Linked DNA regions of Canis lupus familiaris. The protein of the gene in region 6 purifies or fractionates together with the protein of the main gene of each other region. This does not show direct contact. Links are inferred from orthologs where the notes say so. Each region holds a gene or a part of one and is shown on either strand. Other genes may lie near its edges.

Region 1 (3,500 bases), on a different chromosome or scaffold from region 6:
AGCATATATATAGTAAGTGCTTGATAAATACCTGAGATATCAAAGGTTTTGTGGACAAGAGATTCAGGGATAAGTGCTGCTGCAGAGGCACAAAGCTTAGCAGAAGATGGAAAGATATAGGAAGGTTTCTCAGAAGAGGTGAAACATGAGCTCAGTCTTGAAGTTAAGATAAGAATTTGATAGACAGGATGTAGAAGGCATGCCAGACAGAGGGTGCTAAAGCAATGCACACAGGCAGGAAACCATGAACTTAGTATGAGTAATGGCGATTATACCCTATACTGGAATATGAACAGGGAACAAAGTGGTCTATGGGAGATGATACTAGAAAGTTTGACTGTGGCCAACGTACATATAGCACTATGATGGCCATAACGTCAAAGTGAGACATTGCTATTTTATTCTGATAGAATTAAAAATTTATCATCACCACAAGCCAGTATCAGAGATATTCTTAAATATAAATACTCCAGTGAATGGCAGACAGCACAGGAAGAAAGGAAAAGGAATTTGAGATCAGAAGGCCCATTAAGGACATTACTGAACATTTTTAAGCAGTAGAATGATAGTAATGTGAAAGAGAATTATTATAAAAAGAGTTAAAATTATTTGTCATCTCACTGACATGAGATGTGATGGAAATACAAGACAATTCAGGTTGCTAGATTGTATGTCAACTAGGAGGACAGGGATGTTGAGAAGCACACTGATGATGGGAGGGACCGCATGGGGTGGGGGCAGTGAGGTGGGGAGGGAAAAACAAAGGGCAGTGGTGACATGGATGAACCTGCTGAGTTCAGTCTGATCTCCACCGAGCTTACAATCTTTAGTCAACATTCAAAAGGTATGTACTAATCATTACAATATACCAGGAACTGTTCTAGAAGATGAAATATACCAGTAAACCACGAGGTAACTAACGCTCCTGCTTTCAAGGAGCATGCATTCTTGTGAGAGAAGATGGATAATAAACGAATGAGTCTGGTGCTGAAGAATGTTATAAAGGAAGACAAAGATGAGGGGACAGGGAATGTCTGAAGTGGGCATGGAGGCTATTTTATATAGTCACCAGAAAAAGAAACCTTTGGTGAGATGATATTGGAAAAGAGGCCTGAATGAAATAAGAAGGAATGGACCATCCAGGTGGAAAATGTGTGCTTAGAGCATGAACCAATAATAACAAACAATATACAATAGCAACAGCAACCATTCATCAAACCCTGACTACAGCTCAGGTATTAGGAAGCGCCATACACACACATCACTCCTTCTAACTGTCTTAACAACCCAAATTAGGTAGGTAGTGTCATCTTTGTTTTATAAATGAGTAAAACTGGGCTTAGGAATGTGAAGTGACAAAATTAAATGTTAGCACTGAGATCTGTAGGACTTCAGAATTTGTGCTCTATACAACCCCTACTATACAAGTTCTGTGACCGTCCTTAAATATGCAGCAGATAAGCCATGACAAGATACAGGATCATCAAGGCTGTAAACTTGTGAGATATCTACATTCCAGGTGACTGGAAGACAAAAAGTGATAAAGAGCACAGAGAAAGAAGAGAGGTCATAAAAGTCAGATGAGAAGACAATTTTAAGAAACAAGATTTCTAATGACAACAGATAATAGCATAGGCTGTTAGCAACTCACTTATGACCACTGGGGAGTATGAGATGAAAACTAGATTGCAAAGAGTTAAAGAAACTGGAAAAAGGCTCTTCTGTACCTTTTGAATTCCAATCCACATGAATGTATTATCTATCCAAAAATTTAACAAGAAATAAAATTTAAATTAAAAAGCCACACTAACAACTGACTTGTTATTTCACTTCTTCCAGAAACATTTAGCACACAGTAGCTGCCAAATACAGATTTTCTTGACTGACTAACTGGATAATGAAGAAAGAACAGTTGAAAGGTACAGCAGGAAGGAAGGCCAAGAAAAATAAAGGTTTAAGTTTGAGAGCTAGCAAAGGGAGACAATCACAAAGCTATAGAAAAAAAAAATGAGCTGCAATTGTTGACCAATTGGACCAGGCCAGCAGGAAATCAAAAAGGAAGGAGGTATAAAAAAGACTGATAGCTGGATGGGGAGAGGAGACCTTGCCTATTTTACTTGATTGTGAATTTACTATCATACTGGGGCCTTATAATCTGGCTTCAGTCAACTTGTCCAGGCTAAGCTGTCACCACTTCCTTCCTTCTCTCCCTCCTTAATGCCTACACACAGGCACACTCCTTCAGTGCCCCAATGACAAGGAGCTATTTACAATTTTTATACACATCATTTTCATCCATTCTCTTCTCTGTATTTACATTGCCAATCACACCCCAACCTGTCTGAATGCCTAGCAAGCTCTTACTCATCCTGAAGTCTCACTTGCTTATAAGGCATCTCCTCTGTAAAGCCTCCTTAACTTCCCAGGCAGACTGAAGCAGTCCTTGGCCTTGGTCTTAACACTGTCTCCTGTTCTTACCTCCTTCAAAGCAATGATCCTATTGAACTGTAATTGCTTGTTACTACATTCTGAACCTTTGGGGAACAGATTTTGTCTCTATCTCTGTATCTCCTGTCTCTGACACTGTATCTGACACACATTAGATAAACAGCCAATAACTGAGTGGATAAATGGATGAACACAAACATATTTTATCTAAAGCTTTTAAAATTACCTTTTTCCAGGGACGCCTGGGTGGCTCAATGGTTTGGCGCCTGCCTTCAGCCCAGGGTGTGATCCCGGAGTCCCGGGATCGAGTCCCACATCGGGCTCCCTGCATGAAGCCTGCTTCTGCCTTTGCCTGTGTCTCTGCCTCTCTCTCTCTCTGTGTGTTTCTCATGAATAAATAAATAAAATCTTTAAAAAAAATTACCTTTTTCCTAGGTCTCAATTTCTCTCTCCATTCCTTTAATTCTTGGCTGTGTTCCTCATCTAACTCCTTCAGTTTCTGAGTCTCATGCTCAACCAACAGGTGACATTTTTCATTCTGAAAATAAAGTTTGAATTAAAAAATTTCAGATTAACTAAGCAATTTTTCACAAATGTAATTATCTTCCAAAATAATAAAGTATTCATTAAACATCAAACTATTATTGAGGTTCCAGACTCTCCTCTGAAAACCAAGAAGGGCTAAAAACTATGAAATGAGTCATAGCTTCATTTCTGCAAGTTTAAAAGCTTAGATCTGTTACTTACCATATGAAAAGAACTTAAATAGAATTAGTTTGATACTGTTTTTCCTTTCTAAGAAAGTTTGCTCATAAAACTGATACTTCTAAGTGCACCTTATATGGATTTTACCCACTGGTACCAGAATGTGGGATTAGGACTATCCCACTCTAGGGACACCTGGGTGGCTCAGGGGTTGAGAGATTGCCTTCGGCCCAGGGCGTGATCCCAGGGTCCTGGGATTGAGTCCCACATCGAGCTCCCTGCATGGAGCCTGCTTCTTCCTCTGCCTATGTCTCTGCCTCTCTTTCTCTCTGTGTCTCTCATGAGTA
Region 2 (3,500 bases), on a different chromosome or scaffold from region 6:
TATAGAAGGCTCTCAAAGGTGTACACGGCGTTGTCCATTTGCTGCAGGGCACACCGTGGGGTACATGAGGGCCCAGGAGTGACCACAACCTCTGCCCACATGCCTCTGAGGTCTGCATGGGGGTAAGGGAGGCTGTGCACTCGTGTTCACCCACACCTTTACTGAATGTCTGTGCGTGGGCACTGTGTGGGGCATCCAGTCCCTGCCTCAAGGAAACAGAGGTCCTGGGCCCTGCATGAAGGGGCCTGGGAAACATGGAGGGCTTCCTGGAGAAAGGGGTCTCTAGGATGAAACCTGAAAAAAGGAGTCCAGGCTAGCCAGAGGCACAGGTGTGCCAGCAGATGGGGAGCACCCAAGAGGCCAGAGCAGGAGTGAGCACTCCAGGGGCAGAGCGCGGCTGCTGTGTGGCACCAGAGGAGGTAGGGCCAGGGCCTACGGTCGTGGACGGAAGGGCCTCTCCCCAGGAGAGCGGGCCTGTGGAAAGTGGGCGGCCGTGGGTGCTGGGGCCCACCTCTCGCATGTGGATCTGGGCTCGCTGCTTGAACACGGATGTGCTGGACACGTCGAAACGCTGCTGCAGCCCATCGAGCCGCAGTGGCTCCATCTTCTCATAGCAGCTCTGCATCTTGAGGGGGTGGTACGCCAGCTGGGACAGCTTCTCCATGTACTGCAGGGAAGCGGAGACGCAGGGACCTGAGCAGGGCCCCCCAGAGTAGAGGCAGTCCCTGCAGCCCCACAGCTCACTTGGGCCCCGGGAGTCCCCTAGACGTGGGTCTGGCCACCTGCAGGTGCCACCTGCAGGCTAAGCTGTGGGGGCCCAGAGGGATGAGGATATGAAGGCTGGAGCCAGGGGACAGGTTCTCCTGGGTGACCTTGGGCAAGTCACTCACCCTCTCTGAACCTCATATTCCTCAGCCTCAAAATCGGGAGATACTGTCTCATGATCTCTGAGGTCCTATATGGTTCTCAAATGCTGTGATTTTTATTGTCTATGGACCCCTCAGTTCCAGTGTGGAAGAGGAGGGCAAAGATTACAGGATCAGTTCTGTCTGCACCCCACAGCCATGTAGGGCTTCAGACACTGAGGACCCCAACATGGGGTCTGTGGAAGGAAGGTTGTGCCCCTGAGAACCAGACCACTGAGGAGAGGCATGGGCCATCTCCATGGAGGGGGAGGGGGAGCAGCATGACATGGCACTTCAGTAATTGTACTTCCTTCCATCCCTCCTTCCCTTCTTCCTCCTCTCCCTCCTCCTCTCCTCCTTCCTTCCCCCTCCCCCCTCCTTCCTTCCCTCTTCCTCTTTCCTTCCTCTCCCTCCTCTGTTAAGTCCTCTGATACTTCAGTAACCTGCCTAGTAGAGGGGATCACCAATCCCTTTTCCTCTGCTGCCTCCAGTGCCTCATGCCCTCAGGCCCTTAGTCTCCAGCAGACCCTCTAGGGACAGGTGATGCCCTGAGTCACAGCGAGGGCCCTGCAGGGGCTCCATCCCTGGGCCAGGGGCCTGGCCTCACCTCACCCAGCTTGTCGGCACCGCCCTCGTTGATGATGTTCAGGTTCATGTCGGTCACCTCTTTGAAGAAGACGTCCCGCACCTCGGTGAAGCCCTGGCTGGTGGGCACCATCAGAGCCTCCAGGATGGACGGGATGTAGGGCTGGACGTGGTTCCGGACGCACACCTCTGCCTTGGGGAGGATGAAGGCTGCACCCAGGGGCAGCCGGGTGAGTGCACGGACCAGAGCCCCCAGGCACACTATTACACTATCGCTATACGGAAAACCACTCGCGGGATCCCTGGGTGGCGCAGCGGTTTGGCGCCTGCCTTTGGCCCAGGGCGCGATCCTGGAGACCCGGGATCGAATCCCACGTCGGGCTCCCAGTGCATGGAGCCTGCTTCTCCCTCTGCCTGTGTCTCTGCCTCTCTCTCTCTCTCTCTCTCTCTCTCTCTGTGACTATCATAAAAAAAAAAAAAAAAGAAAAAAAAAGAAAACCACTCGCGACACCAGCCAACAGAAGGATTCATAGGTCCATGCATCAAAAAGAACAAGGGATTCTGAGATTGGCCCCTGATATTTCTAAAACTCTGATGGCAAACTAAGAAAAAGCACTTAGTCCAAAGGTGTCAGCGTTCTGCTTCACTCAGGGTGGAAAGAACCCGTCTCTAGGAGTCTCGCTGCTATTTGTTGTTTAATGCAACAAAACACGCTTTGGTAGATTTGGTGAGTCTCAGGGTTCAGCACACACCGAGCCGGCCCCTGCTCTGGACCCGCGTGCCTGGCTTCACGCAGCCATGAACGAGGCCTCTTGCCCGTGGGGGTGTTTTGGGGTCCCTCCCTCTCCTCTGCCTAGCTAAAGTTGGCTGTCTGATAAGATACTGTCAGCTCTCCATGTTCTACGCAGCTCACAATGAACGCGGTGAGAAGAGAAGGGGCCTCAGGCACTCACCCTCCCAGAAGCTACCTGCGGCCACGGCGCAGGGAGGGCCGAGGGCACAGGGCCGAGAACAGGAAGACACACACACTGACCCCAAAGAGTGAGACGTGACCAGAGGGAATCACGCGATGAAATCGATGCCTGCAAACCCAGTCAAGCCCAAGACTGACCAAAACTGAGCAAGAGGCTCGAACTGCCATGACAAGATTGACACCCTCAAGGTTGGGGTTCACGGAAATAGCCACAAAACTACCAGGGCTTGGGAGAACCAATGGCTCAGATTTGCTTTCACTTTTAAAAATGACCAATGAATGGAGTCACCAGTGTGAAAAGTATGCAGGTCGGCACAGAAGGGAGGCAAGCCCTGGCTCCTGAAGCCCCAGGTGACCTGCCTACCTCGGATCTTGCTGGCCAGGTGCTCCTTGGAGGTGATGATCTGGTCCATGTCTGTGCGGATGGTCGCCTCCATGGCTGGCCGGGCCAGCTGCAGCTTGGCCAGCACGGCCTCAAAGCGTGCCTTGGCCTGCTCGTACACCATGCGGTACACGGCGTCCGAGATCTGTGGGCAGTGCTGCGGTGTCAGAATCCGAGCGAGGGCTCCAGGCAGCCATAGGACCCCCAGCCCTGTGCCCGCACCCACCCACCTGGATCCACTGCCTCTGTCGCTCCTGTGGCTTGCCCTTCAGCCGTGGGGCGAGCTCTGCCTTCAGCTCAGGACCCAGCTCCTCCATCACCAGGTTGCTCAGGATCTAGGACCGGGAGGCATAGCCAGGGCAGGGTTAGAGCGTAGCCAGCTGGCAGATTCCTCTTTGCATTCCACTCAAGGCCCACCTCCTGTAGGCCTGGCCTGGCTCCATGTCTCCGCTGCCCCACCTTACCTGCTCAAGGGACCTACAGGATCCTCAGAATCAAGGATCTCCCCCCTCACCCACCCCAGGGGCTTTGCACATGCTGCCTCCCTGTCCAGAACACCACACCCTCTCCCCCCTCACTTGCACATAGAAGTACGTGTGTTTATTTGCCAAACGTCTGTTTCTCCTGCTGGATAGAGAGTAAGGGCCAAGGCCGC
Region 3 (4,295 bases), on a different chromosome or scaffold from region 6:
GAATAAATATATAAACATCCAGGCAGGAGGCATCATTTTGTTTTTCCCTAACCCTGAAGAATGGTTAAAAATTTCCATGAGCGAAAGCTGAAGAGGGAGGGATGTGTCAGCCCAGTCCTAGTCTCAATGCCATCAAATACTAGCTCTGGGGCCTCGGGCAAATAACTGACTACCTGGGAGCCTCTGTTTCCTCCCGCGGAAACGCTGAAGCTCAAAACCTACCCCATCTCTGCCCCCGACTGTTTATAGTCCATGAAATAACTATATAAAGCAGGCAAATATGAGAAATTTTCAATATGCTCAAGAATACTTCCATCTGACCAAAATTAATTAGAATCCAATTCCTTCCAAAGCTAGGAGTGAAGGCAGATGTGGCTTTTCAACCCTGCTCTTGCTCAGATTGTTGGTTGAGGGTGCCATAAAAGAGAAAGTGGCCATCAGAGGGTTATTTTTTCATTCCAGGCATTGGGTAATTCGGTAAGGCCTTCGTGTGTGTGTGTGTGTGTGTGTGTGTGTGTGGCTTCTCCAATAGCAAAGAAGGGATGGGATGGGAGAGGTGGGCGGGTAGGGCTTGTCCTCAGGTGCATCTGTGTGTACATTATGTATACATGTGTGTGTGACCAGGGTTGGAGAGAAAGTGCAAGTCAGCACATTTCTGAGTACATCTCTTTGTTTCTTTATATAGGGGCCAGACAAGGGCACACCTGAGTGTGTAGAATGTTCCAGCTGTACCACTGACAGCCTCTCGGAACCTTCCGGGTCTCAATATCCACATCTAAGAAGAGGGATAATATGGTGCCTGGGATTTTTAAAAATACTCCAGCACAGCACAACAAGAGGTATTGGGAGTATAGAAGAACCCAGGTTGGTTGTGAGCTGATCATTGTTGAAACTGCACGATGGGGACTTGGGAGTTTATCATTTTTCTCTACTTGGGGGCCCATTTGCAAATTGTCATCATAATCCACGTTTTAAAATAAAGACAGGAAAGAATAACGGAACCTTCCTCATAGAGTTACTGTGAACACCAGTGAAGATATGGCAAGAGCTGAGCAGCAGCTTATGGGGTGGCGGGCACCCAGCAGAGCCCCTGGTTGGCAAGTTCTTGCTCTCTCCGTAGGCCAATGGCAGCAAGTGCCTACAAGTAAGGGAATCCCTGGCCCCCCGGCAAACTCCTCCCCTTTTCTCTCTGCCCTCCACGGCCCCTCCCTCCGAGGAAACGCAGGATTGGGGCCCAGCAGGTGTGGGGTTAAGCCTGTTGCGGGGGGGGCGGGGGGGGGGGGCAGGAACAGCAGCAGCAGTGGCAGCAGAGGTGGTGGCAGGCCTGGCCCCGGGCCAGCTGGCCGGGAGCCCCAGGAGGCAGAGAGGGCGGAGGAAGGGGAGGAAGAGGGGAAGGAGGAGGAGGAGAGGAGCAGTCAGCAGGCCCGAGGAGGCAGGACTTCCTGGTGTGGGGGTTGTCAACAGCCCAGAAAGAGAAAGGCAGAGAGACCGGAGAGAAGAGCCGAGGAGCGGAGAGAGACCCAGCGGTTCCACGCGGAGGAGATTTGAGAGACCTGCTCGCCCCAGCCACCTAGGCGGCTCCACCTGGAGGATCGGGGTGGGGGCAGAGCCGCCTCTTCCCTCACCAGTCCCGGGACCCTTGGGGCTTCGGAGGCCGCGCCTGGGCTCCACCAAGGAGGCGGGGGTCCCTTCTTTTCTGGCGAGCAAACTTTTTACGAAGATGCCTTGCGGGGCGAAGTGCGGCCCCCGAAGAGAAGCGGACAGCCCCTGATCGCCGCCGCGCCCCCCGCGGGAAGGACAGCCCGACATCGTAGGCTCCGGGACCCCCGGCCCAGCTCGGTGGCCGAGGCCGAGAGGTAGGGCTCTGGGCTGGCTGGGCGGGGCGCTGGGGCAGCGGGGCAGGGCCTGCCCGGGATCGGGGAGCTGGGGTGCGGGCAGCCTGGACACTCGGCAGAGGCCTCCCGGCGGCGGGGCCGACCGAGGAGCTGCTTCACCCCTGCTCGTCCAAGGCCCTGGAGCCCCCTCCTGCTGTCGGGCGACTCGGTCCTGTGAGTCTGAATCCCAGGCAAGAAATGCCCAACTTTGGTCTGGGCCGCCCCTTCCTACTCTGTGGGACCGCTGGGATCTCCTGGTCTCAATCGTCTCTGCCAGTCTCTTTGTCTCTGGGTCTCTGGTGGTTTCCCCTTCCTCCCCCATCCTGCTCCCCAGAGAGGAAGCCCCAGAGGTGGCCTGCCCACTGCTTTCTCACACACACACACACACACACACACTCTCTCTCTCTCTCTCTCTCTTTCCAGTTTGCAAACTCAGCTCTGGAGTTGGGCAGCGCCAGGGGCAGGAAAAACCTGCCCCTGCCCCTGCCCCCACCTCCTGCCACCTCCCCTGCCCTGTGCTCCCTTTACCAGCCAAGTACCCCCAGTTCCTGCAAAGCCCTCCTGCCATGTCGGACCCAGATGTCCCCAGGGGCCCTGATGCCCCCGCCATGTGGCCCCCCTGTTCCAGGGGTGCCTGAGCCCCTGGAGGAGCCCCAGCTGCACCCCCTGCCCACCTTGGCCGAGTCCTGAGCCCCAGGGACCATGAGTGGGGGCAAGAAGAAGAGTAGTTTTCAAATCACCAGCGTCACCACGGACTATGAGGGCCCAGGGAGCCCAGGGTCTTCAGAGCCCCCTGCCCTGCCGGGCCCCACCGCGCCCCCACCCCGTCTGCCTAACGGGGAGCCCAGCCCCGAGCCAGGGGGCAAAAGCACCCCCCGGAACGGCTCCCCACCACCTGGGGCCCCCGCCTCCCGTTTCCGGGTGGTAAAGCTGCCCCATGGCCTGGGAGAGCCTTATCGTCGAGGCCGTTGGACGTGTGTGGATGTTTACGAGAGAGACCTGGAGACCCCTGGCTTCAGCCGGCTCCTGGAAGGAGTTCGAGGGGCCTCGGGGGGCACTGGGGGCCGATCTTTGGATTCCAGGTTGGAGCTGGCCAGCTTGGGCCTGGGTGCCCCAACCCCGCAGCCAGGCCTGTCTCAGGGCCCCACCTCCTGGCTCCGGCCGCCCCCTACCTCCCCTGGACCTCAGGCCCGCTCCTTAACCCGGGGGCTGGGCCAGCTGGCAGTACCTGGTAAAGCCAAGGTGGAGACACCCCCTCTGTCAGCCTCCCCACCCCAGCAGCGTCCCCCAGAGCCCAGGACAGGGGATAGCGCCGGCCCCTCCCGGGCTGCCACGCCCCTGCCCTCCCTGAGGGTGGAAGTGGAGGCTGGGGGCTCAGCAACAGGGACCCCTCCACTATCCCGATCAAAGGATGGAGCCCTGCGGCTGAGGATGGAGTTGGTTGCTCCAGAGGAGATGGGGCAGGTAAGAGCTGGGTTCTGGGGTCAGGGAGACACCTGAGGGGTGGTGCTTGTTCATCTGGGCCTGGGCCTAACCTCCAGCTTGGGCCTCCCTGCCTCCACCTCCTTACCACCCTCTCCCCATTCCAACAACACGTGTCTGTCCCTCTTTTCTCTTCTTGCCCTCTTCCTGGGAAGTAGTCCATCCTCCTCTTCATGCAGCCTTGTTTTCTTTCTCAGGCTCCCTCTTCCCCTATATCCTGCACCTTCTTTCTTTCTCTAAGCCTTTGTTACCTTTGGCCTCCATCTCTGTTTCCTTATAGCTTAGTGCTGTCTCGCCATCACAGAGATGTCGGCTTCACACTTTGGCCCTCACCTTCTGTCTTGGTTTCACCCCTTCTGGCTTCAGGCATGGGGGATGGAGGTCCCAGATGGGGGTAGGTGCTTGGGCCTCTGGGAGAGGAGCTGTCCAGGTTGGTGGGGAGGGGTAAAAAGAAAGTCTCCCTGGCCGCACCACGCACCATTCCAAAGGTGACGGTCTGTCTTCTTATTAGCCACTCATCCCAGCCCCATCTGCAGCTTTGTCCCAAGTCAAATTTCTCCAAGGACGTGATGAACTAGGTGGGATGGAGGGCTTGGCGGTGTGTCCTTTCTGCCCTCAGGCCCCTGTCTCCGCTCCCCTGCATCTAGGCCTCTCCATGATTGATAACTGGGGGTGGCCACCAGGGAGTGGGAGAGAGGCAGGAAGCAGTGGAGAAAGAGTTAAATCCTCTGGTCTTTCTGCTTCCTGTCTCCAAAAGAGGAACAAGTCTGGGCTGGGGGGCAGGATGCCTGGGTCCCTGGGGTGAGGGTGGGCCGCCAGGGATGTGGGGGATGGATGTGTCTGTCCTGAAGGAGAAAATAACACCTTGGACTTCAGGAGCGAGGGCAGGGAGTGTGAGGATGAGAACTTTTCCCCCTTCCTGGCCTTGGGCACAAACCA
Region 4 (3,500 bases), on a different chromosome or scaffold from region 6:
GTAAAAGAAGTTGAGCTTCTGAATGTTTGGTAAATGTATCTGAATTATCTATTGTTTGTTTCTCGTTTCCTGGTAAAATCGAAATTATTTTTTTAAGAATACCGAACAAAACAGTTGAGAGTAAAGCAGCTCACAGAATTAGTGAAGTTCTTATTTAAGTTGTAGATTTATTATTTAAGGTGGATATGTAAGATTTTTTCTCTAGGAGCTCAAGAAACCATGAAACTATAGCCTTAGAAATTAATATAAGATCTTTCCTTACACACATATGGAAAGTATTTAACCCCATATATGTACTTCCTTAAAACAGGAAACTTTGTTCCTTGCTCATTAAAAAATTTCTTTTCGCAGTCTTTTCGTCTGCAGATGACTATAGAGAACATGAACCATTTGAAATTCATCCCCCACAAAGACTATACAGCCAATCGCCTGGTCAGTGGGCTCCTCCAGCTACCGAACAACACTTCCCTTGTGATTGATGAAACTCTCCTAGAACAAGGGCAGCTGGACACACCAGGTATGGACTTGAGTGTGTCTCTTCATTCCTAATCTCCCATGAAAGCCAGATCTGGTATTGACTTTTAAAAGGATCACCAATCAGGGATCCCTGGGTGGCGCAGTGGTTTGGCGCCTACCTTTGGCCCAGGGCGCGATCCTGGAGACCCGGGATCAAATCCCATGTCGGGCTCCCGGTGCATGGGGCCTGCTTCTCCCTCTGCCTGTGTCTCTGCTTCTCTCTCTCACTGTGTGCCTATCATAAATTAAAAAAATAAAGTTTGTTTTTTTTTTTTAAATAAAAGGATCACCAATCAGAGACAAACTTCTATTTCACAAGCATTTTGGATCAAGGCTTGCCATATGAATTAGTGTAATGTGGATATTATAGACTTAGAAATTGTGTACATTGGCTGTGTTTTGTCCTAGTATGAAAATAGTACGATGACAGGACAAGGATGTAGCAAGGAGCTCTTTAAGGCTAAGAAAGGAGGAGATTATGCCTTCAGTCATATATTAGCTAAAAAGAAAAGTGTAGGGGCACTTGAGTGGCTCAGTGGTGAGCATCTGCCTCCGGCTCAGGGCATGATCCTGGGGTCCTGGGATGGAGTCCCATATAGGGCTCCCTGCATGGAGCCTGCTTCTCCCTCTGCCTGTGTCTCTGCCTCTCTCTCTCTCTTTCTCTCTATCTCTATCTCTCTCATGAACAAATAAAATCTTTAAAAAAAAGAAAGAAAAGTGTAGAGAAGATTTAATAAAACATTAACTGCCCAATATGAAGTTTTTTATTTTTTTATTTCAAAGAATCTCTTAAAAAAATATTTAGTAGAAGACTACACTTTATTGGGGGGTAAGTTCAAGAAGTAAAGGTAGAAGGAAAAAAATAGTGTGGACTGGGTATACTTAATAAGGCACAGATGAGTATAAAAATCCGTAAAACTCAATAATCTTATCTCTATGCGTAAAAATCATTTTAGTTCAATCATACTGTGCTAGACCTGTACACGTCACATAGAAAGTGATTGTACTTACTGGGAACCTATCTTGTACCTAGTTGTATACCAGATGCTAGATTAGATTTTAGGAGGTCCTGGCCCCAAAATACATTTGTTTAGCTTGACCAGTATTGTCCGAAGCCTATTACTTAGTAAACATTTAGCTTAGGAGGTCGAACAGTGCTTGAGATAACTTTTTAAAGCAGTAGAAACTTCATGTCTTACGATCAGTGTCAATAAAACCAAATTGTTTAGGTGATTAAAATCAAATGACTAAAAAATCACTATTTTTTTATTTTTCAGGTGTTCATAATGTGACTGCCCTGAGCAACCTAATAACTTGGCAGAAGGTGGATTATGACTTCAGTTACCACCAGATGGAATTCCCCTGCAATATTAATGTTTTTATTACTTCAGAGGGGAGATCACTCCTGCCGGTACGAGGAGACATGTTAAGATGGAGGGAGGTTACGTTGGAAAGATACCTGTATTCTTTTGTTTCTTGGTATGGCTTATTATTGAGGAGTTAAACTTGTTTCAGAATTGGGGCTGTTGATTATCAGTAAGAGAATTGATTATTTTGTTCCCGCTGTGGGAATGAAAACCTGTGAAGAACCAGATACGGCGAATCCCAAGAAGAGCAGAGGAAAGCTGTCGGTAGCAGCAGCTCCCACACCCAGGCAGAGAAAGTAGAAGCTTTCTGTAAATTGCCTGATTCACATCTAGACCTTTGTTCTTGCTGCCTCCGTCCTATTGTCTCTGCCAATCTTACGTGAGGAATAGTTCAGAATTCCTTTTAAGACATTTAAAAATGTTCCTGATGACATGGTAATTATTTTTATGCTTTATGGTGAAATGCTCTGATAAATCATCAGAGTGACTGATGCAGGGAGCTTTTAATTGTGTCTTTTCATGATGAGAAGTACGCCCCGTTGTCTAAAAGGTGTAGAGTTTCTCTGTAAACTGATGTTCACTGTGATTCATGAGAAACTGCCCGTGAACGAGAATGAAATGGCCCCCGGGTAAGTTTTCTCTGGGAAAGTGTGATTTGCTTTACGTGGTTTCTAGACAGAGAGATCAGTAAGACGTACACATATTCCAGGATTAAGAAAGCCTTGAAAACATTTTAATTAGCTGGTTTTTAGAGGTTGGTTACCTTTTTGTGTGTTTACTGCTCTTCCTGCGGAAATGTAAGTAACCAAAGAAACGCTCACCTCTGTAATTGTCGCCGAGGGAGTCACGGTGCTTATAAACGAATGTTAGAAAGTGTCCCCCCTCCGGTAATAAAAAGTATTTCTCGATTGCTACGCGGGCTGATACAGATGAAGCCTCCTCCCGAAATTTTGGATTAATTTCGGAACGTGGGAAACCCCGCGTCCCGTTGGTCTCCGTAGGCAGACTGCCAGATCCACCTGGAGCCCCAGCTCATCCCGCCCAACATGGAGGAGTACACCGACAGCCTCCTGTCCGCCGTGCTCCCCTCTGTCCTCAACAAGTTCCGCATCTACCTGACCCTCCTGAGGTTCCTGGACTACAGCATTTCCGATGAGATAACCAAGGTGTGTCTGGGGTGAAACCAACGATTTCCCGTGTTGAGTTAGACGGTTTGGTCACGTTCCACTTACCGCGACTGGCGCCGAGCTCGTGTCCTACGTGGGCGGCGCTCCTCCGCGCGGTTACAGTCCTGCTTTGCGCTCCTGTCTTTAAATCGGAGGGAAAAAGTTAGGAGGAGAAAGACCTTTGTACCGCTTGGGTATTTCCCTGTGTGGTTCCCTTCCCCGTGGTCCTTCCGTGCTTCCTGTCGGGCACATCGGCTGTGACAAGTTCTGCCGAGTGGTTGCCCATCTGGGAATGTCTGAATTTCTCCGTTTTTGAAGACTAGCTGTACTGGACGTGGAGTTCTTGCTTTATAGACTTTTTCTTTCAGCGCTTTTCACGTGTGTCCTCCCGTTGCCTTCTGGCGTGGGGGTTTCTGGTGAGGGGTGCGCTCGCGGCTGAGGCGAGGCCCCT
Region 5 (2,747 bases), on a different chromosome or scaffold from region 6:
TCACCAGAGGCCGTGCATGGGACATTGGAGGGGAAATGACCCCGTTCCTGCCAGCCCTGGTGAAAGGTCCAAGGATCAAGCATGGTGAGCAAGGACCCTGGGCCTACATTTGGATAGTCCTGTGGGCCAGCCGGTGGGCTGTGTCCTGTCCTGCCCTGTCAGACTCATCACAAGAGGAGATCCCTCAGCTGTTAAAATGCCCAATGCACACTTTCTAATGGGTCCAGGGGGTGTCTGGGATTCCAGTTACTTCAAATTTTTCACTAAGTGAACTTTGGTTAAATACATAAGCACCCAGCTGGCCTAACTACCTCCAAGGGCCTTTGGTACATGGCTGCTACTCAGGGCAGGCATCACTCATGAGGGCTCTGGAACCTCCGTTAGTGCCAGGAAGTGAGGCAGGTCCAGAGGACACAGAAGCCTCCTGGGGGCCCAACAGCCAATGCTGGGGCAGCCAGTGCTGGGGCAGCCAGAGCAGTGAAGGGACGAACATGGTGATGGGTTCTAATCCACAGTGCTAAATACAGATCTATGAGTCTATAATCCTACAAATAAACAGAGTAAGAGTGAGGTCTTACAGAAGGATTTCAAATAACAAATGACAGACAGAAATGCAAAACCACCATTAGGTGAGCACCACCACTGTATCTGTTGTGGCAGGAACTCCCAATGGGCTAAAGTCAGTCGGTATAAATCAGAGGGACAGAAGATTTGCACTGTCTCCCAAGACGCTTACAAATCACTGAGGGGGAAAAACCGACTGTACGGTGTGAAGTCCAGCGCACAGTGCCTGAACCAAGTGACCGTGTTAGCATCACCCAGAATGTGCCACTGACTTCTCGGGCACCCCGACCTACCCTGGACAAGTGGATCACATTTGTGCTATTCCCGCCATAAATACACGATCATGGAAAAACTCCAAACTGACATTCTCCCAGAAGGCTAAGGTCTCCAGGGAAGAGGCACTGGCACAGGCTGGCAGGAAGGATGGTGGGCCAGGGAACCTATGTCACCCCTCACCGGCACACGATGTAGCGGATGACATTGGCATGGCAGATGAAGATCTCGTAACTGTCTTCCTGCTGCTTGACATCTGCCCGATGGATGTAGTTCCGGAAGGCGGCCTCAATCCGGGCTCCATCTTCATAATACTGCTGGGGGCAGAGCAAGGAATCTTAAGGATGGCCACGGCATGCAGGCCGCAGGGCATGCAGGCTGCAGGTCGGGGGGGCTCGGGGGGAGTGGGGCTTTTACCACAGCCTCTGGCTTCCAGTGGGACACAGGCGGGTCGGGCTCAATGGGGGCGCCTTCCCTCAGCAGGTCTGTGCTGACCTTGCAGACACCTGTAAGAGAAGCCGCAGCTAGGTGCTGCCCCTTCAGGACTAGCCACCCAGTGTGCCCTGGAGATGCGGGGCACTCACCTGGCAGGTGCTTGCTGATGATGTCACTGGTTTCTATGGCTCGGGTCATAGACGAATGGACAATTTTATTAAACTTCAACCCCAAGCTTGCAAGTCGGAGCCCAGTTAGTTCAGCCTGTTCACGACCTTGAAGGTGAAAAACACCAGAGAATTATAGGTTGCTGGAGTTCCTCTTTTGTTTACTTCAGAAATACTCCAGTCCTTTACCAAGTGCCCTTACGGCTGGGGAACAAGACGGGCAGACCCTCCTGGGGTTTGGCCCTAACTAGGGGCCAAGCATTTGACAGGTGGAAACAATGAGATAATGCAGTTACCTTTAGCTCCATACAGAAGGAATGTTAATGACCAAGGTTGAGGATCCCTGAGATCTGGGATCCTGTTCCTATCTTTGTGTCCTTTATGCCACTTTTAATTTTGTCCAAACATGGAGTTGCAACGTGCCATGGATCGACCAGTTGTGCATTATCACAGATGTCAACACGTAAAGACCAAATGGCCTCAGCATTCACTAAGTACAGTCTGTGTACAAATACAAATCTTTTTTCTCAAATATATATTTTAGGGATGCCTGGGTGGTTCAGTGGGATAAGTGTCTCCCTTGGACTCATGATTTTGGAGTCCTGAGATTGAGTCCCAAGTCAAGCTCCCTGCGTAGCAGGGAGTCTGCTTCTCCCTCTCCCTCTTCCCCTCCTCCCGCTTGTGCTCTGTCTTGCTCAATCTCTCAAATAAAATTAAAAAAAAAAAATATATATATATATATATATATATATTTTAGAATCTAGATGAAAATGCTCTCAGAAGGTCAGTTTCAAGTGCATGTAGCACTGAATGTGCACAGATGGCTAATATCCTATCCAACAAAGACATCTTTAAAAATGTAAACCTTATCTCAGACCACCCTGTACTTCCTCTCCTAGGAATTTCTTCTACAGATATGCTTGCACATGGGCACAAAGACCACGGTGGAAGGGCATGCCCCGCAGTGCTGCTCACGATGGCAAGAAACTGCAATAAGTAGCACTCCTGCCAGGGAGATGGTTAGAGCTATCACTCAATCCTGTCTGTTTACCATTATGAAGCAAACTTTAAACAGATCTGCAAGTGCTGAATAGAAGGATCTTCAGCAACAGGTTAAGTCAAGCAGAACAGGGTGCATGGGCTATGCCACTTACAGAGCATCAGGGAGTATAGAACACCTCTGCTGTGCTTTGGGTCTGATCACCTGTGAGATCCACCATACATTTTTTAAAGTTGAGGAATTTTTTTTTTCAAGGATTTTATTTATTTATTCATGAGAGACACAGAGAAGCAGAGACACAGGCAGAG
Region 6 (4,189 bases):
CACAATTCTAAGATCATGACCTGAACCGAAATCAAAGTCAAAGCTTAACCAACTGAACCACCTAGGTGGGCACCCCATCCTTTGTTTCTTAAATTCCACATATGAGTGAAATCATATGGTATTCATCTTTCTCTGACTGGCTTATTTTGCTTAGCATTATACTCTCTAGCTCCATTCATGTTTTTGCAAATGGCAAGATTTCATTCTTTTTTATGAATAATATAAATATATACATCTTCTTTATTTGTTCATCTATGGATAGACACTTAGGCTGCTTCCATAGTTTGGCTTAGATGGGCTCTTGTTAAAATAAATACATTTAAAAATTAACTTTATATCATAATCAGCATGAATGGCAAATCAGTATCCCTTGCAGTGAAAAATAACAATTAGGGCAGCCCTGGTGGCTCAGCGGTTTAGCGCCGCCTTCAGCCCAGGGTGTGATCCTGGAGACCCAGGATCCAGTCCCACATCAGGCTTCCTGCATGGAGCCTGCTTCTCCCTCCTCCTGTGTCTCTGCCTCTCTCTCTCTCTCTCTCTCTCTCTGTCTCTCATGAATAAATAATAAATAAAATCTTAAAAGAAAAATAACAATTGTTCATATCCACTGGGCACTAGCATTCCCATTTCACCCTTATGATCACCTTGCAGGTAGGTTTTACAGGGAGGAAATTGAAGCGTGAACAGGTTGAGGTAGGGACCTATCCCTTCGGAGCTGGACAGTGGCGGAGCCGGGCTTCAAACCCCTGCAGGCGAACTTCACACACCTCTAGACCGGAAGTAACTAAAAAATAAAGATAAGGAGGGGCGCCTGGGTGGCTCAGTTGGTTAAGCCTCTGCCTTCAGCCGGTCAGAATCCTGGAGTCCTGGGATCCAGCCCCGCATAGGGCTGCCCGCTCAGCGGGAAGCCTGCTTCTCTGTCTCCTTCTGCCCCTTCCCACTCGTGCGGGAGCTTGCTCTCTCACTGTCTCTCAAATAAATAAAATCTAAAAAATAAAAATAAAAACAAAGAAAAGCCAACTAGGTAAATAAATCTAGCCGGATCCTTCACCACTGGACCCAGAGCTGCGTGGGGTTAAAGGGAAAAGAGAGGGTCGGGGAGAGCAGCCACACGCTGAGATGCTGAGATCCGGGGGATGGAAGGGGCCAGCGCAAGTGGGGACGGACCCCCTCCCCCCCCGCCGCCGCCCTGCTCCCTCGCCGTCGCCCGCTCCGCGCCCAGGGGCGCCGGGCACCTGCGGGAAGGGCGGGGAATCGCGGCTCCCTCCCCGCCGCGCCTCTCCGCCCTCTCCCCGCCTCCTTCCCCGCCGACCCGAAGTCGCCCCCCCACCCGACGTCCAAGACCCCGCAGGCTTTGACGCCCCAGAGCCAAGGTCCCCCCAACGGCGGCCGCGGGCGCCCCATAGCGAAAGTTAGGTGGGAGCCGCCCCCGGCCGGGCCGCGGAGGGTTGCTCTGGGGGTTTCCGGGAAGCTCTGCGCACGGGGGCACCCCTGTGCCCGGAGCCACTGCGGTGCCCCGGGCATCCCCGCCCCGCGGCCGGAGCTACGAGGCTGCGCGGGGGCCGAGGTGAGCGCGCGGCCGGGGGGGCTGCCCATCCACCTCCAGTGCAGGCAGGGAGGCGCCGGGCCTCGAACCCGGGCTGAGGTTCCCGGCGGCTCCGACCACGCGGCCGGGCGCGCCGCAGTGACGGGCCCGAGTGGTCGCCCCGCCGGGGCTGCGCAGCTCCGAGACCCGCGGCGGCGGGGGGGGGCGGGGCGGGGCGGGGCGGGGGGCGCGGCGCATCCGTCAGCCCCGCCGCCGCCGGAGGCCCGGGCCGCGGGGACTCTTATTCTGACACGGCCGGCGCCCGGCTCTGCTTAGTCATGGTGACCTGCGCGCGCTCCGCGCCTCCCCCCGGCGCGCAGCGATGGAGGCGCCCGGGCCTGGGCGACGGAGGCGGAGCTCGAGCGCGGCCATGGCGGGGTGAGTGAGGCGGCCTGCGCCCGGGCTGTGGGTACGGCGGGCCGGGACGGCCCCGGGGGTCGGGGGACGGGGCGCCGCGGGCCCGGGCGCCTTGGGGTTCCCGCGGCCCCGCGGGGGGCCAGGAGGGCGAGGCCCGAGTCCTGGCCTTTTGTTGGACGGCGCGACTCGAGGGCTGGCCCGGGGGCTACGCAAGCCGGCGAGAGGCCCAGGCAGCGCCCCGCGACCGAGGGCCCCGGAGCCCGGCGCGCCGGGGAGCTGGGAGCGCGCCTCGGGGCTGCCAGCGGAAAGGCCGCGGCAGGGTCACTTCCTCCCTTCTCCGGGCCTCGCTGGCGGCTCGGGCAGGGCATGCGCAGTCCCCCCACCGCTCGGTGGGGAAGAGCCCGGTGTCCAAGGGGCACCGTCGGCCGCCTGGCCGGAGACCAAGAGGCTGGGCACGGGCCTCGGGCGGGGAGAGGCGGCGAGCGGCCCTGGGCCCGGTGGAGGAGGGTGCTCCGGCAGGCAGTGAGGCGGGCAGCCGGCCAGCCAGCCACCGCGTCCTGACCCCTGAGCAGTGCCAGGCCCCAGGCAGGACGTTGGGGAGGCACATGCTAGGGTGGGCGCGACCCTGACCGACCCGGGGCTCCCTGCCTCCCGAAGCGCGGGGCTGAGAGGCGGAGGCGCCCGCCCGCCCTCAACAAGCCAGCGGCCGAGCTCATCGCCGTTTCCGACAAGTGCGGTGGTAGAAGTAAGACAGGGAGGAGAGGACTGCGCTGGGTCCGGGAAAGATAAAGGGAGAACCCGGGGAGCCTCTTGCAGATGCCCCTCTTCTCCCGACAGGACCTTTCAAAACAGCTCGTGCCCTGGCCCTCCAGCCTCCTCAGGGTTCACGGAAACCTTCCCTTTAGCAGGATTTCTTGTTACACTCCTCCCTGATGCTCCAGCTGGTCTCTCTCGCTCTGCCTCCGAGCCTTTGCACTTGCTATTCCCTCTGCCTGGAAAACCCCTTCCGTGTGTGCATCCTTCTTGTCTCCGCTCTAACAGAGCCCCCGACTACCCGATTTAAAGTAACTGCCCCAGGCCACACTGTCGCAGTGCTGTGGTCCTTTTCTTCATAACCCCCCGTTCCTACTCAGGTCTTGTTTGTTTTACTTATGGCCCATCCCTCGCCAAGTGTCCTCCAGGGGGGCACAGTTTATGTCTGCCTGTCTCCACTGGGATGTCTCCGGTTCCTGGTACACAGTAAATAATCAGTAAATGTTGGTGAGGCCAATGAAAGAATGAGCTAGATGTGCTCTGTCTAGGAAGGGAAGAGGTGGACAGAGGCGGACTGTGTAGGGCTTTAGTAGGACACTGAAGAGTTTGGTTTCACTCATTGTGCTGTAGGGAATTGTGGGAGGATTCGGCACAAGGGAAAGACATCATCTCACCTGTGTTTTAAATTGGACTCTTGGGCTGGTGAAGCCATGTGGCGCTGAGTGAGCACAGACGGACATTGCTTCACCTGGGCTTGGGAAGGAAAACTGGTCTAGGAGTCGTTTTATCGTAAAAGAGGAGGCCTGCCCCCAGGCCCTGCCCCCAGCCCTGTGCTCTCCCTCCTCCAGGCCTCTGAGTGCCAGTGGTGGTGTTGTCCCTTGTCACCTGGAACCCCATGCAGCCGGAACCTGGGCCTAGCGGGGCTGGGGCCCGCACTCGATTCCTTCCCCTGAGGTCACAGCGCCCCGAGGGGGCAGGGGACACGGTGATGTACGCCTCCACCGAGTGCAAAGCCGAGGTGACGCCCTCCCAGCACGGCAACCGCACCTTCAGCTACACGCTGGAGGACCACACCAAGCAGGCCTTCGGCATCATGAACGAGCTGCGGCTCAGCCAGCAGCTGTGTGACGTCACGCTGCAGGTCAAATACGAGGACGCGCCAGCTGCCCAGTTCATGGCTCACAAGGTGGTGCTGGCCTCATCCAGCCCCGTCTTCAAGGCCATGTTCACCAATGGGCTACGGGAGCAGGGCATGGAGGTGGTGTCCATTGAGGGCATCCACCCCAAGGTCATGGAGCGCCTAATTGAGTTTGCCTACACGGCCTCCATCTCCATGGGTGAGAAGTGCGTGCTCCACGTGATGAATGGCGCCGTCATGTACCAGATCGACAGCGTCGTCCGTGCCTGCAGTGACTTCCTCGTGCAGCAGCTGGACCCCAGCAATGCCATTGGCATTGCCAACTTCGCTGAACAGATCGGCTGCGCTGAGCTGCA
Region 7 (4,099 bases), on a different chromosome or scaffold from region 6:
GGTTGAGAACATTGTTTGACCCAGCAAACCATACAAGATCTGTTTACAGACATTTTTATTTGTACATAATACAGGGCAATCCTATTTTGCCTTTTGAGAGAATTTAAAAGGAATAAAATATTAAGACACTATTCTCCTGCTATAAAACAACTGCCAAAGTTGATTCAAGGCATTTAATGCTAGTAGTTTTTTAAAATCTCTTAGTTGAATCCAAGAAGCTATATAAAGCAGGAGGCTTATCTTGTCACAAAGTTAAAATGCTCTTATAACAAAATGACAAATATAAATAAGAACAATTCAGAGCACCAATCTACTCTAAACACCAACCAAAGTACAGAATAGTCATCACTCTGCCATCTGCAAATATCAGACTTCCATTCAAGTAAGAAGACCTGGTACTATTCCCCCTTACAGAAAACTCCTCCCTCCCTTAAATATTTCTCTTTTAAAGGCTGACCATTTCTAGAAAAATAATGATTTCCAAAACAACCAATCTGTTTTTCATTAAAATGGAATGGGTCAATCATCTGGTAACACAAATGCATTAATATCCACTTGAAATAATGATCTAAGAATCATAAAATTCAAATCGAACAACATAAAGTAACTACTGAATCACAAACTCTGTTCAAAGTAATAAACTTCATATAAAGCACTTTCTCTGGATTGATGCCGGAAAGCTGTCTGTCAAAACGGAACACGTCATAGATGAAGGTACACCCATTCTTAAAAACGTTGTGCAAAAATACATTTTTATAGAAAACAGATTACCAGGAATGAACAAATTTACACCGTGAGAAACTAGCTTGCAAATTATAAGTAGCGCCAACTTTATACAGCAAATTATAAATAAGCAGTAGGATCACCCCAAGCCATCATGAAACATTATTTAGGTGCCCAGCAACCTTCAGCTCTGAGGAGAAAAACATTCAAAAAAATGATTAAGGCATTACACCTACAGTAAATCTACTAGGAAGTTTAAAAGTGCTATTACCCTGATTAGAGTTCGTAATTCTCCCAACACAAACTATGTATGCAATTCTCCCAGGGTGTAGGTTTTCAGACACTTCAAGAGCATGCATTTTGTTCGATATACATTTTGGATAGGGATATGGCCATGGACTTGGCAAGTTCTTCGTCGCGTTTCCGTTGCACTTGAGTCTGTCTGCACCAATTGTCATACTCGGGGTTAGGATAGGAGTGATCAAACACGGCATCATAATGTCCATTACTGAGCCAACTGAGCCAAATGCTAGGCCGTAGGGAATCCTCTGGGCCCAAGTAGTGAATCATGGTGGACACCGTGGGGCTCTCCAACCTCCCTCCAGTCGTTAGATGTATGTTCACATTCAGCATCTGCCCCATGGCCAGCAGTTCCGGGTACCCGGCCCACGCCCCGTCCTGAGCAGCAGCGATGATGAACTCCCCCACGTCGCCCTCAATCAGGGGGCTAAAGTGGTCGAGGTGGTCGGCGATGTAATGCACCGTCTGTTCCCTCAGCTCCCGGTGCAGGCTCTGGTCTCCGTACACCGTCTTGCTGACCGCTCGGTAGAGGCAGTTGCCGTCGGGAATGATGTGGAACCGGTACTTACTCCTCTGCCGCAGGTACTTGTCCTGCCTCTCCACCTCCGCCAGGTACAGGGCCAGCTTCTCGTCCCTGGGATCCGACCTGGAGACCACCACCGCCTCCGCCGCGCCGCCCGGGGCCGCCTCGCAGCTCCGCGCCGGGGCCGCCGGGGCCGCCTGGGCCTCCGGGTCGGGCCGCCGCGCCTCGTCCGCGCCGGCAGGGTCGCTGCGCTCGCCCGCCCTCTCCCAGCCCCGGAGGCTCCTGTCCGCCGGGTGCTCGTCGCCCCACGGGCCGGGGCCGGGGCCGGGGCCGGGGCCGGGCTCCGGGCTTCCCGGGGGCGGCGCGGGGCCTCGGTGCTTGGCGGCGGCCAGGGCCTGGCGGTGCTCGCTCAGTCGGAAGTTTCTGTCGGGACCCTCCCGGGCCGCGTCGAGGCCCGCGGGCTCGGGGCAGTCGGGCCTCAGCAGCTCCTCCAGCAGCCAGGCCGAGGAGCCGCGGCGCGGCGGGAGCGGGGCGCCGGGCGCCGGGGCCAGCAGGAGGCAGCGGCCGCGCGGGGCGGCGGGCGCCGGGGCGCCGGGCTCGGGCCCGTGCAGCAGCAGCCGGTCGGCGCCCAGGGCCCGCACGGTGATCTGCGCCGTGGACGTGTAGTGCGGCGGCAACGGCGGCTTGCACGACCCGGCGGGCGGGCCGGCGGCGGCCGAGGCGGGGGCGGCGGCCCCGGGCACCACCTCGAAGCAGGAGGAGAAGGCGGGCATCTTGGCGGCGGGGGCGGCGGCGGCGGCGGCGGCGGCTTCTCGGGGCTCGGCGGCCGCGGCAGGCTGGCACTCACCGGTCTCGGGCTCCGGCTCGCCGCTGGCGGCTCCGGGAGGCTGGAGGGAGACCTTGAAGGGGGCGGCGGCGGCGGCGGCGGCGGCGGCGGGGGCGGCGGAGGCTGCGGCCGTGGGACCCGGTGCCCCGGCTGGGTAGTGGGTGCAGACGCTGCTGTAGAGCTGCATGTCCCTGCCCGCTGCTCGGGCCCCTTATAGGCGCGGCGAGCCGGGCTGAGGGGGACACACCCTCCGGGCCCGGCGGAGGGGGCCGGCCGGGCGCGCTGACCCGGCGCCCCTAGAATAGAAATGACCCAAGGGCCGCCGGCCGCCGGCGCGTCAGGAGCCGCAAATAGCGCCCGGGTCCCCGCCAAATTCCTGCTGCGCCACAACGCGCGGTGGGGGCGGGGAGGGGACGCGCGCTCGACCCGGGCCGGCGCGCTCTTCCCGCACACCCGGGGCGCCGCGCCCGCTGCCGCTGCTCCGGCCGCGGCGGCCGCTGGGGACTTTCGGGGAAAGCCGCCCGCCCCGCTGGAGCGCGTCCCGCCGGCGAGGAGCAGTGCAGGGCGCGCGGAGGGGCCGGGAGGCGGGGCCGCGGTTGTTTACCTCAGGCCGCGCGGCCGCGTCACGTGGGCCCGTTGGAATGTGCGGCTCGTTGCGGCGCCCCATTCAGCCGCGCGGGCTCGCCCCGCCCCCCGGCCCGCGCCCCGCCCCCCGGCCCGTTCGGCGGACGTCACGGGCGGGGCCCGCGGCGCAGGGGGCGGGGCCCGCGGCGCAGGGGGCGGGGCCCGCGGCGCAGGGGGCGGGGCCCGCGGCGCAGGGGGCGGGGCGGGAGGGGCCGCCGGACGCTCCCTGCTCCTCAGCGGCGGGTCCTGGCGCCGCGCCGCGCTCCTGCTCCTGCGGCGGCTGCCGCGGCGGATCGTGGCGGGGTGGGCGCTGCGTGGGGAAGCTGCGCCGCCTAGACCCCGTGCGGTTCGAAGGCAGCTTCCGGGACGGAGCGTAGCCTTGTAACCCCCTGCAGGGCCAGGGCACCGCTGCCGTCCTTTTGATTTCAGTTCTTTGGGTCACAGTGTTAAAACACCGTGACGCCCCGCGTCCACCCGCGATTGCTGCCTTGCCCAACCGAAAGCAACTTTTCTGCACCCCTCGCCCCTGTCAACGGGCAAACACACGACTTGGGCGATGGGAAGCCCTTCCAACAGCCTTTGGAAGATCAGGTGCAGCCGCCCACCGCCCACCGTAGGTCAGTCGTGATGCCTGCCGAGGCCGAGCAGAATATTGGAAAGAGTTGTGCTCACCGGTGCTAGTCGTATCCTCTCTGTAAAGGGAAGCCAAAGTGTTCGATTTGATCAACCGAGTGTTGGTTATACTAGCGGGCAGGTGTGCTGTGTTCTGAGCTTCCATCACCTGCAAGTAACAGGCCCTAAGCGTTCATACTGAACGTGGAAGCTCTCTCACCTTTTTTAAGAAATGGGGAAATAGGGACGCCTGGGTGGGGGTCAGTGATTGAGCATCTGCGTTGGACTCAGGTCGTGATCCCAGGGGCCCTGGGATCAAGCCCCCCCCCCCCCCCCCCCCCCCCGCCTCCCCGCATCAGACTTCTCTCTCTGCCTAGGTCTCTGCTTCTCTGTCTGTGTCTCTCATGAATAAATAAATAAGTAAAATCTTAAAAAAAAAAAAAAAAGGAAATGGGGAAATAGCTGTGGACTGTGGCGCATGCTTCCACCCA

Evidence for each region.
Region 1: the proteins of KEAP1 (region 6) and SLK purify together in Homo sapiens (affinity purification with western blotting; 3 studies listed by BioGRID and IntAct, with this or other methods). This does not show direct contact. The link is inferred for Canis lupus familiaris from reciprocal best matches to the Homo sapiens genes KEAP1 and SLK.
Region 2: the proteins of KEAP1 (region 6) and NIBAN2 purify together in Homo sapiens (affinity purification with mass spectrometry; 3 studies listed by BioGRID and IntAct, with this or other methods). This does not show direct contact. The link is inferred for Canis lupus familiaris from reciprocal best matches to the Homo sapiens genes KEAP1 and NIBAN2.
Region 3: the proteins of KEAP1 (region 6) and TSC22D4 purify together in Homo sapiens (affinity purification with mass spectrometry; 4 studies listed by BioGRID and IntAct, counting the BioPlex papers as one, with this or other methods). This does not show direct contact. The link is inferred for Canis lupus familiaris from reciprocal best matches to the Homo sapiens genes KEAP1 and TSC22D4.
Region 4: the proteins of KEAP1 (region 6) and MCMBP purify together in Homo sapiens (affinity purification with mass spectrometry; 3 studies listed by BioGRID and IntAct, with this or other methods). This does not show direct contact. The link is inferred for Canis lupus familiaris from reciprocal best matches to the Homo sapiens genes KEAP1 and MCMBP.
Region 5: the proteins of KEAP1 (region 6) and PGAM5 purify together in Homo sapiens (affinity purification with western blotting; 6 studies listed by BioGRID and IntAct, with this or other methods). This does not show direct contact. The link is inferred for Canis lupus familiaris from reciprocal best matches to the Homo sapiens genes KEAP1 and PGAM5.
Region 7: the proteins of KEAP1 (region 6) and OTUD1 purify together in Homo sapiens (affinity purification with western blotting; 3 studies listed by BioGRID, with this or other methods). This does not show direct contact. The link is inferred for Canis lupus familiaris from reciprocal best matches to the Homo sapiens genes KEAP1 and OTUD1.

What each region holds. Positions count from the first base shown.
Region 1 is NC_049249.1:16,533,864-16,537,363, reverse strand, and holds part of SLK (STE20-like serine/threonine-protein kinase), read right to left. Parts: intron 2,987-3,500; coding exon 2,873-2,986; intron 1-2,872. UniProt on the Homo sapiens protein: Mediates apoptosis and actin stress fiber dissolution.
Region 2 is NC_049230.1:55,934,577-55,938,076, reverse strand, and holds part of NIBAN2 (protein Niban 2), read right to left. Parts: intron 3,181-3,500; coding exon 3,076-3,180; intron 2,991-3,075; coding exon 2,828-2,990; intron 1,701-2,827; coding exon 1,513-1,700; intron 668-1,512; coding exon 512-667; intron 42-511; coding exon 1-41. UniProt on the Homo sapiens protein: May play a role in apoptosis suppression. May promote melanoma cell invasion in vitro.
Region 3 is NC_049227.1:9,141,326-9,145,620, forward strand, and holds the start of TSC22D4 (TSC22 domain family protein 4), read left to right. Parts: upstream 1-1,495; 5' UTR 1,496-1,856; intron 1,857-2,297; 5' UTR 2,298-2,576; coding exon 2,577-3,338; intron 3,339-4,295.
Region 4 is NC_049249.1:30,250,686-30,254,185, reverse strand, and holds part of MCMBP (mini-chromosome maintenance complex-binding protein), read left to right. Parts: intron 1-351; coding exon 352-517; intron 518-1,793; coding exon 1,794-1,927; intron 1,928-2,884; coding exon 2,885-3,049; intron 3,050-3,500. UniProt on the Homo sapiens protein: Associated component of the MCM complex that acts as a regulator of DNA replication.
Region 5 is NC_049247.1:426,355-429,101, forward strand, and holds part of PGAM5 (serine/threonine-protein phosphatase PGAM5, mitochondrial), read right to left. Parts: intron 1,548-2,747; coding exon 1,422-1,547; intron 1,344-1,421; coding exon 1,255-1,343; intron 1,175-1,254; coding exon of another isoform or gene 1,155-1,174; coding exon 1,021-1,154; intron 1-1,020. UniProt on the Homo sapiens protein: Mitochondrial serine/threonine phosphatase that dephosphorylates various substrates and thus plays a role in different biological processes including cellular senescence or mitophagy. Modulates cellular senescence by regulating mitochondrial dynamics.
Region 6 is NC_049241.1:51,048,502-51,052,690, forward strand, and holds the start of KEAP1 (kelch-like ECH-associated protein 1), read left to right. Parts: upstream 1-1,389; 5' UTR 1,390-1,567; intron 1,568-1,806; exon of another isoform or gene 1,807-1,963; intron 1,964-3,543; 5' UTR 3,544-3,590; coding exon 3,591-4,189. UniProt on the Homo sapiens protein: Substrate-specific adapter of a BCR (BTB-CUL3-RBX1) E3 ubiquitin ligase complex that regulates the response to oxidative stress by targeting NFE2L2/NRF2 for ubiquitination.
Region 7 is NC_049223.1:7,654,088-7,658,186, forward strand, and holds the start of OTUD1 (OTU domain-containing protein 1), read right to left. Parts: upstream 2,801-4,099; 5' UTR 2,560-2,800; coding exon 1,069-2,559; 3' UTR 995-1,068; intron 1-994. UniProt on the Homo sapiens protein: Deubiquitinating enzyme that specifically hydrolyzes 'Lys-63'-linked polyubiquitin to monoubiquitin.